Saccharomyces cerevisiae S288C: one gene and its partners. Changing the gene in region 2 together with the main gene of any one other region gives a genetic interaction. Each region holds a gene or a part of one and is shown on either strand. Other genes may lie near its edges.

The links.
Region 1: mutations in NRG1 (region 2) and YDR444W together harm fitness more than expected from each alone (negative genetic interaction), as found in Saccharomyces cerevisiae (2 studies listed by BioGRID).
Region 3: mutations in NRG1 (region 2) and FUM1 together harm fitness more than expected from each alone (negative genetic interaction), as found in Saccharomyces cerevisiae (2 studies listed by BioGRID).

Annotation. Positions count from the first base shown.
Region 1 is NC_001136.10:1,348,116-1,353,102, reverse strand, and holds YDR444W (putative hydrolase), read right to left. Parts: upstream 2,814-4,987; coding exon 750-2,813; downstream 1-749. Other genes in the region: SSN2 (Ssn2p), read left to right, coding at 3,165-4,987.
Region 2 is NC_001136.10:541,952-545,810, reverse strand, and holds NRG1 (transcriptional regulator NRG1), read left to right. Parts: upstream 1-2,441; coding exon 2,442-3,137; downstream 3,138-3,859. UniProt on the Saccharomyces cerevisiae protein: Transcriptional repressor involved in regulation of glucose repression. Binds to UAS-1 in the STA1 promoter.
Region 3 is NC_001148.4:45,213-49,551, forward strand, and holds FUM1 (fumarase FUM1), read left to right. Parts: upstream 1-2,123; coding exon 2,124-3,590; downstream 3,591-4,339. Other genes in the region: KEL3 (Kel3p), read right to left, coding at 1-1,294; YPL261C (uncharacterized protein), read right to left, coding at 3,784-4,092; CUB1 (Cub1p), read left to right, coding at 4,091-4,339. UniProt on the Saccharomyces cerevisiae protein: Catalyzes the reversible stereospecific interconversion of fumarate to L-malate.

The DNA of each region.
Region 1 (4,987 bases), 810 kb from region 2:
TATATACTTTGTCATTCATTATTCTATCGTATTATCAATACTGGCATTTCAGCTTCACTAAATTTTCATGACTGTTTCTTAATCTTTATACCATTTTCTTAAACCGCATATGATAATATACTAGTAATGTAGAGAATGTGGATTTTGATGTAATTGTTGGGATTCCATTGTGATTAAGGCTATAATATTAGGTATGTAGATATACTAGAAGTTCTCCTCGAGGATTTAGGAATCCATAAAAGGGAATCTGCAATTCTACACAATTCTATAAATATTATTATCATCGTTTTATATGTTAATATTCATTGATCCTATTACATTATCAATCCTTGCGTTTCAGCTTCCACTAATTTAGATGACTATTTCTCATCATTTGCGTCATCTTCTAACACCGTATATGATAATATACTAGTAACGTAAATACTAGTTAGTAGATGATAGTTGATTTTTATTCCAACAAGTAACATGAATAAAACTAAACAGATGATATTTTAAAGTTTCATTGCAACAAACATGTTTAATGTCCTATTACTTCCAAAATTAATTAGTTTTTCCAACGAAATAGCCTTGTTGGCGCAATCGGTAGCGCGTATGACTCTTAATCATAAGGTTAGGGGTTCGAGCCCCCTACAGGGCTATCTTTTTTTTAAACAACATCCACACTTTATTGTGGTCATTGTGATATTCTTAAGAAACTTTTATTTCATCTATGATATTTTTTTTTACGTATACATTATAAATCATCAAACTCATGTGGCATTCTCCGCGCCCTTTGATATTTCCCCCTCGTTATACTCATTCGACCGGTCCGCTTGCGATGACTGGTTTGGCTCATCTTTTGGCTCATTTGCATCTTCAGCCAGCTCGCTACAAACCTTGGATCCGAAATGGTGCTCAACCATGTGTTCCACAGCAACATAGCCGTATAAATTAACAAATCTTCTTCTTACTACGATATTGTTATGGGAATCAGGCTGGATCTGCACTAATACTTTTCTCCAAGTCATCGTTTCTTGCCATTCTCTAGCAATGCGCTCTTGAATCCTGTTGACACTCTCATTAGGATATATAAGCTTCTTAACGATAGGCCTATTCTCATAATGCGGCGGAGGTAATTCTTCCGGGTGATAAAGTTTATCATGAATGACTTCATCTTTCCTTACAGCCGGGTTTTTGATATACTCCTGATCTGGTATGGCAGCTGTCAATACCGATAATGCAGACAATACAGTATTGGCTTCTTTTGGAGGTTCGAACTTTTGACCATCAAGAAATACTCCTTGTTCATTATCCGAATCTGAGTTGGCTTCATTAGTTTGTCCTCTCTTATATTTATTTATTTTACTTCCGTGGATAACGGCCTGAGGTAAAGTCCACTGCAACGTCGCTTTTTTGTTTGGACTTTCTGCAGGAATCTCCCCGACGTTGTTACCATTTTCGTTTGAAGGTGATGATGCTCCACTACTCTCTGGGCTATCGGAGGACACAAACTCGCTTGAAGTTGGAGAGTTCTTATTTTTTTTCCTAATTTTCTGGACTTTGTGTATGCTTCGCCAATCCAGATACAAAAGTGCAGCAGTTCGTAATGGAACAATACCATCATCCATGACATTGGCATATATCGTTCTCCTCTTAAAAGACTCAAATACTTTTTTAGCCGGCGCCTGTGGAAGAATTTCTAATATGTACTTGGAATGTTCTGGGTACACTTCATCGTCTGCATACAACCCATCTTTGGACGTTAACGGTGTATATTTTAAATTCAAGTCCCTTCCTGTCAAACCAAGCGCGCCCATATCCAGTGGAACAGACAAATAAAAGGGGAAGTCGCCAATAACACCGATGAAAGGACTAGCTAACGTAATAAAATTAACGGGTTTAACACCTTTAACTGCATCAAAAAAATCTGGTCTTTTAATACTTATGTAACGCACCGCCATGGATTGAGTTGGCCCTCCTAGGGAATGGCCAATGAATGATATCCTGTCTACTTTGTACTTTTTATTCAACTTATCAACAGTCTCAAGCACATACTTTCCAACTCTAACGCCCAAGCAATGTATACCGTGACCTGATTTCCCGACGTTGCCCATAAAACCTCGAACAATTATATTCGGATTAATAGACTCATCCATAGGAAACGTCATTTCTTCAATTTTATCTTTCATATATAGCATATCACACCCGATATTAGAAAATATACCATGTGTCATAATAACGAGATGTACAGGCTTTTCTGGAAATTTTGGTGGTAAATCCCAAAGGGTTTCAGTATCCCACATCTCTAAAGAGACACCTTCAATACTCTTAAAGAGCCCATTCGATTTCTTGACCACCTTCCTTGTAGTCCCTATCCTAAACGAAAATTCCAGCTTCGGAATTGTGGTTACCGCCAACTGCGAAATTATATCTATTGTCCATGAATAAAGAGAAGTGTCGCCAACTCTAGAATTCTCATTCAATAATATTTTTACTTTAAATCTTTCGTCCGGCTTTAGATTTTCAACAAATGGAATAATTTCCTTCCCTGGAAACTTGCGATTCTCATTATAGTTATGCGGCCTAACATCGATGTAAAAAGAATATGGCCCCGTCAAATAAAGCGGTCGCAGAAGCGCGCTTTCCTCGTTCTTGATCCTCAAGAATAGATGCGATACATCTAGCCCTTGTTCCTTAATTACATCTTTGTTCACGGAAAACTTGTAGCGATATAACTCACCTATTCTTAATCTCTTCCGCTCATCAACCAATAAGGTACCTCCGGTTTCATTTATCTCGAGCGAATTTTTCATTCGGTTGATTTTGTAAGGCATTAAGGGATCGAACCAAAATGGAGCAATTCTTTTATAATAAGAAGATGAATAACAGCCGAGTAAGTGATTCTCCTCCGCATTTCCTGCTGTTCATTGTTTTATCATACTGAATAAACAATCCTTAGAAAATAGCATCGATATATTCGCGCTTAACAAAGCGAAGAATTGAAACATTTTTTCAGGTGGAGGGACCGGGTAGTGCCGGATCAAGTAGTGTAGTATTTATTGTAGTACACTCTTACAACAACCCTTTAAGACGAATGGTGTGAAATCGGAAATTACTTTGTTGAAGTAAGGTGTAACTATATTTTAAGAACGTTTAAGCTGGATATCAAGATCTGAGGAGGTAGTATGAGTTCTGACGCTTCCACGTACAGACTTGAGGATGTTTTATCCAGCTTCTATAGAGTGGAGAAAATCAAAAAGATCAACTATCATCAGTACATTTCTAAAGCCCAAAACGATCAATGGTCTATCCAAATGGAATTCATGCTACGGAAGCAGGATCCAAAGACTCTAGTTGCGCTGCTTTCAAGGGATTTATGGTGTTTCAGTATAAATGATGATCCGGTACCGACACCTCCTGCGATAGAACATAAACCAGTGAGCCCAGATAAAATCGGAACTTTCACTGCCGATTATTCAAAGCCAAACTTACCGCCACACTATGCTCTTTTTTTAAAAGCTTTAAGAAGGAAAATTTACATTAATTTGGCATTAGGTTCACACAATAAGCTAATACAATTTGGGAATGCCTGCATATCATTAAGCGGAGTGCCAAATTATCTCGTACAGCTAGAACCACACCTTTTTGTAAACGGAGATCTCACAGTGTCGTTATGTGCCAAGAACATGGGATTAGTACCAATGAAGGAGGAAAATTTGGAAGAATCTTTCCTTTCAAAGCATGCGCTTTATTTAGCACCATCTGGAATAAGGATGCATTTGGCCCCTGCTTCCAAGCAAGGATACTTGATAACGCCACCAAAACATACAGAACTTCTCTTGACGACGTTAAGTGTATCTCATGGTATAAACTTACAAAATAAAAAAAATTTGAAATGGGTTGCTGTTGTTCCTGACTTAGGACATCTCAACGGCCACACACCTACTATAGCTTCGTATTTAACTCCCTTACTTGAAGCAAAGAAGCTAGTATGGCCGCTGCATTTAATCTTCGCCCAACCAGTAGCTGATATAGAAAATTCTACTTCCGGAGATCCATCAGAATTTCACTGTTTGCAAGATGCTCTGGATGCCATTGATGATTTCATACAATTAAAGCAAACAGCTGCCTATAGGACTCCAGGAAGTTCCGGCGTATTGAGCAGTAATATTGCTGGTACAAATCCCTTAAGCTCAGATGGAGCATATACAGAACAGTTTCAACATTATAAGAACAACTCAATTAGTTCTCAACCCGCTTCTTATCATTCTGTCCAAGAAACTAATAAGATATCTCCGAAAGATTTCTCCCCTAATTTCACAGGCATTGATAAATTAATGCTGTCGCCCAGCGATCAATTTGCTCCAGCTTTCTTAAATACCCCTAATAATAACATCAATGAGAATGAATTATTTAATGATAGGAAACAAACTACAGTATCAAATGACTTAGAGAACAGCCCACTGAAAACGGAACTGGAGGCAAATGGTAGATCACTCGAAAAGGTAAATAATTCCGTGAGCAAGACAGGAAGCGTAGACACACTTCATAATAAAGAGGGAACACTGGAACAACGAGAACAGAACGAAAATCTGCCAAGTGATAAAAGTGACTCTATGGTAGACAAGGAATTGTTTGGTGAGGATGAGGATGAGGATTTATTTGGCGATAGCAATAAATCGAATTCTACAAACGAATCGAACAAAAGTATATCGGACGAAATTACCGAGGATATGTTCGAAATGTCTGATGAAGAAGAAAATAATAACAATAAAAGCATTAATAAAAATAACAAGGAAATGCATACTGATCTTGGTAAAGATATTCCATTTTTTCCCTCATCTGAAAAACCGAATATCCGTACGATGAGCGGAACTACAAAAAGATTAAATGGAAAGAGGAAATATTTGGATATTCCGATAGATGAAATGACCTTGCCAACGAGTCCATTATATATGGACCCAGGTGCGCCACTCCCTGTGGAAACACCCCGCGATAGACGCAAAAG
Region 2 (3,859 bases):
AGCAACTATCGCTGAAATTTGTCATGTCAAAATTGCTACTGGGGGAGAAGAATATATATGGAAGTAATTATTATTTACGTTGCTGAAATGGCAGGTTAGACGCATGTTTTGCAAAATAAGTGGTTTTGAAAAGAATTGATACTAGGAATCGGTGCAATACCTTCTACCTTTCTTAATAGGTATTCTTGAATAATCTACCTCACTTTCTGTCCCAGATACGAGATGTCGAGCGCCTCGAAAATAGATATCGTTTATTACGTTAGATACGGAAAGGTCTACGTGTCATAATAAATTGCATCTGGATTGCGATTTTGGGTCATGCCTAACTGGGAAAATATTTACATCTCCATGTTCTCATTCTGCCTTTGCTTTCCTTCAAAACATGGTTTTCAATTCAACCTAGGGTCTACCGCGGAACCATATGTACGCCGTAAATGCGAGTGTTCTTGAAAGGTAGTAATGTGTTCCCTCTCAATATGTAAGTCCTTCAAGAGTATGCACTTGCAGTTGCACTGTTTCGGGTAATTATCCGTCATTAAGAAAAAGATGCTTCCACTTTCTCGTGTTTTTACGCACAATCGTGCCATTTAACCGGAAATAGACTCCATTGCATTGATTGCTCTCATAAAAATTATAGCCCGCGTTTGATACTTGTTTAAAATAGGTGTCGACAAAGTTAGTTTCTGTCTTCCATTTAGTTTTTACAATATGACACGTCAAATAAATCTTTTCGATTTAGTTAAAAGAGTTACCTGGCGATAGCCTTCTGGTAAAACACCTATTCATAAAACAATCTTAAAAAACCAAAAAATTACCAAACAACTATGTAGGACATATTTTTACAGTTCATAAAAACGCTTCGAGCTGCCGATATCGGTATCAAACACCAAAATATACATAGTGCTGGTTTAAGCCAGAATATCTTGGTGAAGCTGCGCCTATATGCCTTGTATTTAAAACAAGTCACGAAAAGCTATTGCCAAAGGAACATAAAAACTCGTATCTATGTTATATTATAAAAAAGATATAATATTTATATATTATTATTAATATTATTTTTTAGTTCCGAAAGGAGAAACTTATAATTTTTATATCATTATTTATTATTATTTTTAATTTCAACTCCTTTTATACCTATTACTGCATGTGGAGAAAAGATTAAACCAGGCGAGGCAATTTACACTTATTCATTGAGATAAGATGAAAGAGCCACGCCTCGTTACATTTAGGCTACATCATATAACAACTAGTCCCAGCCTCCCCCCTTCCCCACCTTGGAGTACTTTTCTCCAGAAATAGAAAGCTAAGAATCAAAATCGCACCATTACGTATGAGCTCATTTGCCGTCTTTTCCCCGACAATCCGGCACAAAATCTGGCTACCCGTCGTATGTATGGTAGACGATATTATGTACTCTAGTAATGCTATGTACGAATAGTTTCAGACGGGCACAGGGACCTAGAACGCCAAGCGCAAAAAAAAGCTGATAGGAATTCGACGTCACGAACCCTTGGAGTAAAAGAAAACTAAAATATACGAACTTCGCGGAAAATAAAAAACTTTTCCTTCAGTTGTTCCTCGTTCGAAACAGTAATCTACACGGACCGTTGCTTATTTTTAGCCAGATTCTAGTTAAATAAAAAAAAAAGAAATAAAATTAAAAAAAAATTAAACTGTGGCAGATAAGCCTTTCTAATCGAGGCAGTGTGTTTCTTTTGACTTCACCGTTTGTCTTCGCATAGTTCCCCTAAATATTCTAACTAGAAAAATCGCTAGTATTTTTCTACTTATAAGTTGATTTTCCGCATATTTGTCTTTGAAACGTTTGAGACAGGGAAAACTCTGTTTTCTAAAAGAGGAAAAAGCAAAATGAAGTATTGGCTTGGTTGCGGTCAACACCCTCAGGGAAAGCCAAGAAATGCTTTTTACTGTTTAGCAGTGAAAAGGCCGCACCGGAAAAGAAGGGAAAAATTCATTGGGTCTAGATTTTTCTTATCGGTAAAAGACTATGGCCTCTTGAGGACCCTTAAGCGTGAAACGAAACGCGTTGAGCGCGCAGAGGGGCTTCGCCGCCGGTCAGGGTGTTTGGGGTGTTTTTTCTTTTAATTATTCTCTTGGCAGTGTCATCTTTCTACAGTCTGGCTGCAGGCTCCTTTTCCGTTATTCATATATAAGGAAGAGAACTTTCCAAACCCAAATTAAAAAAAATTTGGTTCCCATCTCTTAACTAAAAGAAATTATATTACTCCACCTCGTTTACAGTTTTTTGATGCTATAAGGGAATTCTGCAGCTTTTGAAAGTAAAAATCATATCGTATACGATTCTGCAAAGTATTATTGTACTGTAATTCCTACCATTACGGCGCCTTTTTCTACCATTCACCTTTCTTGGATTGTTCCTCTCGACCAGCATATTACTACCCTTCGCAAACTTTCAGGCAATGTTTTACCCATATAACTATAGTAACCTCAATGTTTCTACTATGCCCGCACTGCCGGGAATCTCCGCATTTGATGGAATGCAAGATGAAGAAAACGTTGAAATAAGCCCGGAAAGAAAATATCAGACGCTACTACCAGTTCTAACTAATTCTCATGTGGTAGAGAATGAACTAAAACACAAATTAAATAAGACTGCTTTTGATTTCCGATACCAAACCAAATCAGAAAATGGCTCTGAAAAGTGGGAGCCAAAATACTTAATAACGCCTAATTTACAAACAAGAAGCGTCTCTTTTGACAATTCATCGGTACAATATAATTCAGATTCATCCGAAAAAAGCTCGCTATCACAACTAACTTGTAATTCATCAATAATACAACAGCCTGAGAACGGAATAGTTTCTAATGATGCATATAATAAGATGGCAAATAGTAGATACTCTCTGAAAACGCGGAAGCAAAGAACAGATCCAAGAAATACGTTATCAGATGAGGAAGACCTTGAACAAAGGCGCAAATACATTTGCAAAATTTGCGCAAGAGGATTCACTACATCGGGTCATTTAGCAAGGCATAATAGAATTCATACGGGCGAAAAAAATCATTGTTGTCCGTATAAGGGATGCACGCAGCGATTCAGTCGACATGATAATTGCTTGCAACACTATAGAACACATTTGAAAAAGGGACAATAATTGACGGTATACCCGTGTTTTTCTCATTAGCAGTACTACTATTCCGCACTTTACATCATTTTTTATAAACTCATGCATACATACATTGTACTTCAAAAGATTTTTTTTTTTTTTTGGCATCATAAATCACTTTCAGATCAGTTTCCTTTCAAACGCGCGGCATTAAGAAAACTTTTAATGTCAAAAAAACGGAAGCAAAAACCCCTCCCTTCCGCTTAAGATCATGTCTGGACATTTTAGTTGTAAGGCTGCGCCTCGGTAGCAAGTAGTGCTGCAACAAGGCTATTATGCCACCTAAACAGACCACTTTTGCTTAATACGAGACTGTGACTACCTCCTGACTTCCTGTCATAACAAAAAAACAGACGTCGCTGCATTAACATTTACAACCCCAAACCTTCTTCATTCATTGCTTTTCTTTTAGAAACTGTGGCTTTTTGACATTTGCAGTTTGCATAGTTACTTTTTGATCACTAACAACGATATATTATCGTTGAACAATTTACTACGCAAAACAGTTCACGTGATGTACGTCAGATAATTCACTGAAGGTACTACCTTTCGAGCATCTCTTACAGCAATGGTAACAGCTCATTGAAGAAGAAAAAAATAAGACAAATTTTTTTAGAGCTGCAAGCGTTTTACTAGGCATCAGAACTGTCTCCGAACAATAGTATAGTTAATTATTATACTTCAACCCTAGAAGAAATACCCGAAGATGT
Region 3 (4,339 bases), on a different chromosome or scaffold from region 2:
TATCTTCGTCGTCATCGATAGAGTTAGGACCCGTTGTGCTGTTGTCATCATTGTCATCGTCGTCGTCATTTAGATTAGACTTGGCCAGAATGGAATTTAGTAAATCCTGCAGTTCCTTTTCTTGATCTTTATTAGATTTTCTTTTACTTGTGGCGGGTGAATTTTTACTATTCGTTTGACGCTGAGGTTTAATTCTAAGTTTAGACCATTTGTTCAACTCTAGGTGGAACATATATAGGTCGTTATAGAAAACGGACTCTAAGGATTCCTCTGTCTCTTGTAAATCGTAGACACCACCAAAAGCAACGGACTTGTTTTGCTTCCATAGATTGAACGAATACCCGACTCTTGGTGAGGGCTGGTTCTTGAAATTCTTTAATTTTTCCCACTGCCACTTCTTTGGATCAGGCGTTAAGTTCAGTTTCCATGCATCATTCAAGATTTTTCCCTTCATTAAATTTTTATTATTTTTGGCAATGATTTTACAGTAACCACCCATTAATATGGCAGAATTATCTGTAGGAATGAAACAATGACCCGATCTAGCGTCAGGTTTGCTGTTTGTCTCCAATTTGGTCCATTTGTAGGTTGAGATATCAAAACACCACAAATCATTTAGGTAAGAAGTTTGACCATTCCCCAAATCTCTAAATCCACCAAATAATATGAAATAGTTTTTCCAAGCAATAATTCTATGACCTGATCTGGCGCTGGGTGAAGAGTCTCTACCGCCAAACTCCAACTTAGTGAATTTCCTTTCAACGCAGTCAAACAGCCATGTATCAGAATAGTGGTAGAATTTAGATTGTTTTGGGGACGAAAATTCACCACCGTGTAACAGTGCTATTCCGGAAGGATGCACAGCGACAGCGGCACTGGATCTGGGCAAAGGTGCATTTTGCGAAACGTATTTTTTCCAAGAGTTGTTCTTTATGGAGTATGAATACAAATCATTATAGAAATGTGTTAGTTTGGTTTCTGGATCTGTAAATTCACCACCGAAAATGAACAATTCATGTTTATTGTGTTGCGGATTTGCAAACATCAACGGATGAGTACGACAAGAGGGTTTTTCCACAGAAGTGATGTCTACATGCTCTAATTCAATTTGCTTTTTGCTAAAGCTAGAGAGAATTTCATCGAGATCTTGATCACTTTCATCATCTTCTTCGCCGTTTAAAGACTTATTCTTGTTCTTCTGAAACTTTTTCTCCTGCTTTTTTTGGTTTTTCTGATTCTTCAGTTCAGCACGTGCCTTTTTGGCCTCTTTATCCTTCTTATTCTTCTTTGCCATTAATCACTTCTACGAGTCTAGTAGATCTCTTCTCCTTCCTATAAGTGGTTAATGTATTCTTCGAGAAGCTCATCATTTTTTTTTTTCATTTTTTTTTTTTTTTTCAGTTTTCTACAATTTCATCAAATCAATGGTTAAACCGGGCAGAAAAACTACCAAGCGTTACTTTTACTGATGTTAGTACTACTACCGCAGTTATTGCGACTACTACATTAACTATAACTATACAAGAAAAAAAGTAAAGAGGGCTCGTAAAGCAAAGCTTGGTATCTCCTACATAGTCAATACATAGTAGTGAGTCGCCTATAGCCATTCTGTAATGCCATTTGTTAAGACGTGTCCTTAAACCCTTCCGAATCGCCGCGGGCGACATCATAATGTCAGTACCTAATAATGGTTATTATTCGTACCCTGTGGTTAGAGAGCTATGGAAGCTAGCAGTAAATGTCTCTAGTTCTTGCTATCACTACCATATTGGAGAGGCTTCAGGCCCCTCCCCTGAGCCGATCCTCGGAATGACTACCCCGATTCCCGGAATGGGCGTTCGATGATTGGCTCTTTCCTGTAAAGCCTTTTTGCGTTTCTTATAGGCTATATATAATCTTCATCACTGTTGTAGACGTTAAACAAGCATCCAACAGGAGGCCGGACCGAACACACGGGGGAGTGACTCTAGCTCTTTCTTCTGGGATATTCATATCGTTTCTCCATTACATACAGTCATTTTTTTGCATTTTTAAATTCGTGACTTTTAGTACTGCAGCTGTTTTTTTTCTCACGTCAAGAAATTCCATAAAGTCTAACTATTAAACGGATAAGAGATACAATCATGTTGAGATTTACCAATTGTAGTTGCAAGACTTTCGTAAAATCGTCATATAAGCTTAATATAAGAAGAATGAACTCCTCGTTCAGAACTGAAACCGATGCATTTGGTGAGATACACGTGCCTGCTGATAAGTACTGGGGTGCCCAAACTCAAAGATCCTTTCAAAACTTCAAGATTGGTGGCGCTCGTGAAAGAATGCCATTGCCTTTGGTGCATGCATTTGGTGTTTTGAAGAAATCTGCCGCGATTGTGAATGAGTCTCTGGGGGGATTGGATCCCAAGATCTCCAAGGCTATTCAACAGGCCGCTGACGAAGTGGCTTCTGGTAAGCTAGACGACCACTTTCCATTGGTTGTTTTCCAAACGGGTTCCGGTACCCAGTCTAACATGAATGCTAATGAAGTTATTTCCAATCGTGCCATTGAGATCCTAGGAGGCAAGATTGGATCTAAACAAGTCCATCCAAACAATCATTGCAACCAATCTCAATCATCCAATGATACTTTCCCCACTGTCATGCATATCGCTGCCAGTTTGCAAATTCAAAACGAGTTGATACCTGAGTTGACCAATTTAAAGAACGCCCTTGAAGCCAAATCCAAGGAATTTGACCATATTGTGAAGATCGGTAGAACACACTTGCAAGATGCCACGCCTTTGACACTAGGTCAAGAGTTTTCCGGTTACGTGCAACAAGTTGAGAACGGTATCCAAAGAGTGGCACATTCTTTGAAAACATTGAGTTTCCTGGCACAAGGTGGTACTGCCGTTGGTACAGGGTTGAACACCAAGCCCGGATTCGATGTCAAGATAGCCGAGCAAATTTCCAAAGAAACTGGACTAAAGTTTCAAACCGCCCCTAATAAGTTCGAGGCTTTGGCTGCTCACGACGCCATTGTCGAATGTAGCGGTGCTCTAAACACCCTTGCTTGTTCTCTTTTCAAAATAGCGCAAGATATAAGATACTTAGGGTCCGGGCCACGTTGCGGCTACCATGAACTAATGCTGCCAGAGAATGAACCAGGTTCCTCAATCATGCCTGGTAAAGTTAACCCAACCCAAAACGAGGCATTGACTCAAGTGTGTGTGCAAGTCATGGGTAACAATGCAGCTATCACGTTTGCCGGCTCTCAAGGTCAATTCGAGTTAAATGTCTTCAAGCCAGTCATGATCGCCAATCTATTGAATTCGATCAGGTTAATTACTGATGCCGCATATTCATTTAGAGTGCACTGTGTTGAAGGTATCAAAGCCAATGAGCCTCGTATTCATGAGTTGTTGACTAAATCTTTAATGTTAGTCACCGCTTTGAACCCTAAGATCGGTTATGATGCCGCTTCCAAGGTCGCCAAGAATGCTCATAAGAAGGGCATTACCTTGAAGGAAAGTGCATTGGAATTGGGTGTATTGACTGAAAAGGAATTTGATGAATGGGTTGTTCCTGAACACATGCTAGGTCCTAAATAAACGAGCTAAATACCTAATAATATACAAGTTTTTTATGTCTTATTATATGAAGGAAAATAAGGAAGTGGAGAGAATTTGTGATTCAGCAATGGTCCCTCCGCTAAGGTCCCGCCTCTGGCCAGTTATGTCAGAAGAGGAGCATAGGCATACATTCCATTTTTGATGGCTTAATGGGGCCCATAAATTTACATCACTACATTATTATTCCTATACAAGTTATAATAAAATAGTTCATAAATGAATATTTTGCGTCATTTTTTAATTTCTTGTCGTCGGGTAAGGGACCTAGTATTACCCGCATCACGGAAAGGGGAATTTTCAGAAATGATAACGAATAAGAGAGTACACCAGAAGAGCAAATCTCTTTAAGAAGTTTAGCAGCAAATATCGGTTTAAAAACAAACAAAAGCAAAGGAAAAGAACTACTAAATCTTCGAGGACTTTCCCAATTTTTAAAACGCTGAAATTGTATTAGAAGAGAATAACTGTCTAAAAAGAGCATGTTTGCATCCGCTGGACAACAACACCCTCAAATTGTTCCTAAGGAAGAGGAATCCATATTAAACTACCTCCTTGAAGTGAGATCCTCCTTGGCTAAACTCAAGCAAAATAGGACCCAGTATTTGAACTCTAAGGATGTCCAAACTACTTACCAACACGTCTTGACCAAAGTCAGAGAGTTGGACGATATTAGGAAGAATAGTCATGAGACGCCCGCTAAGAGCGCCGCCACCCTGATTCATAGTACT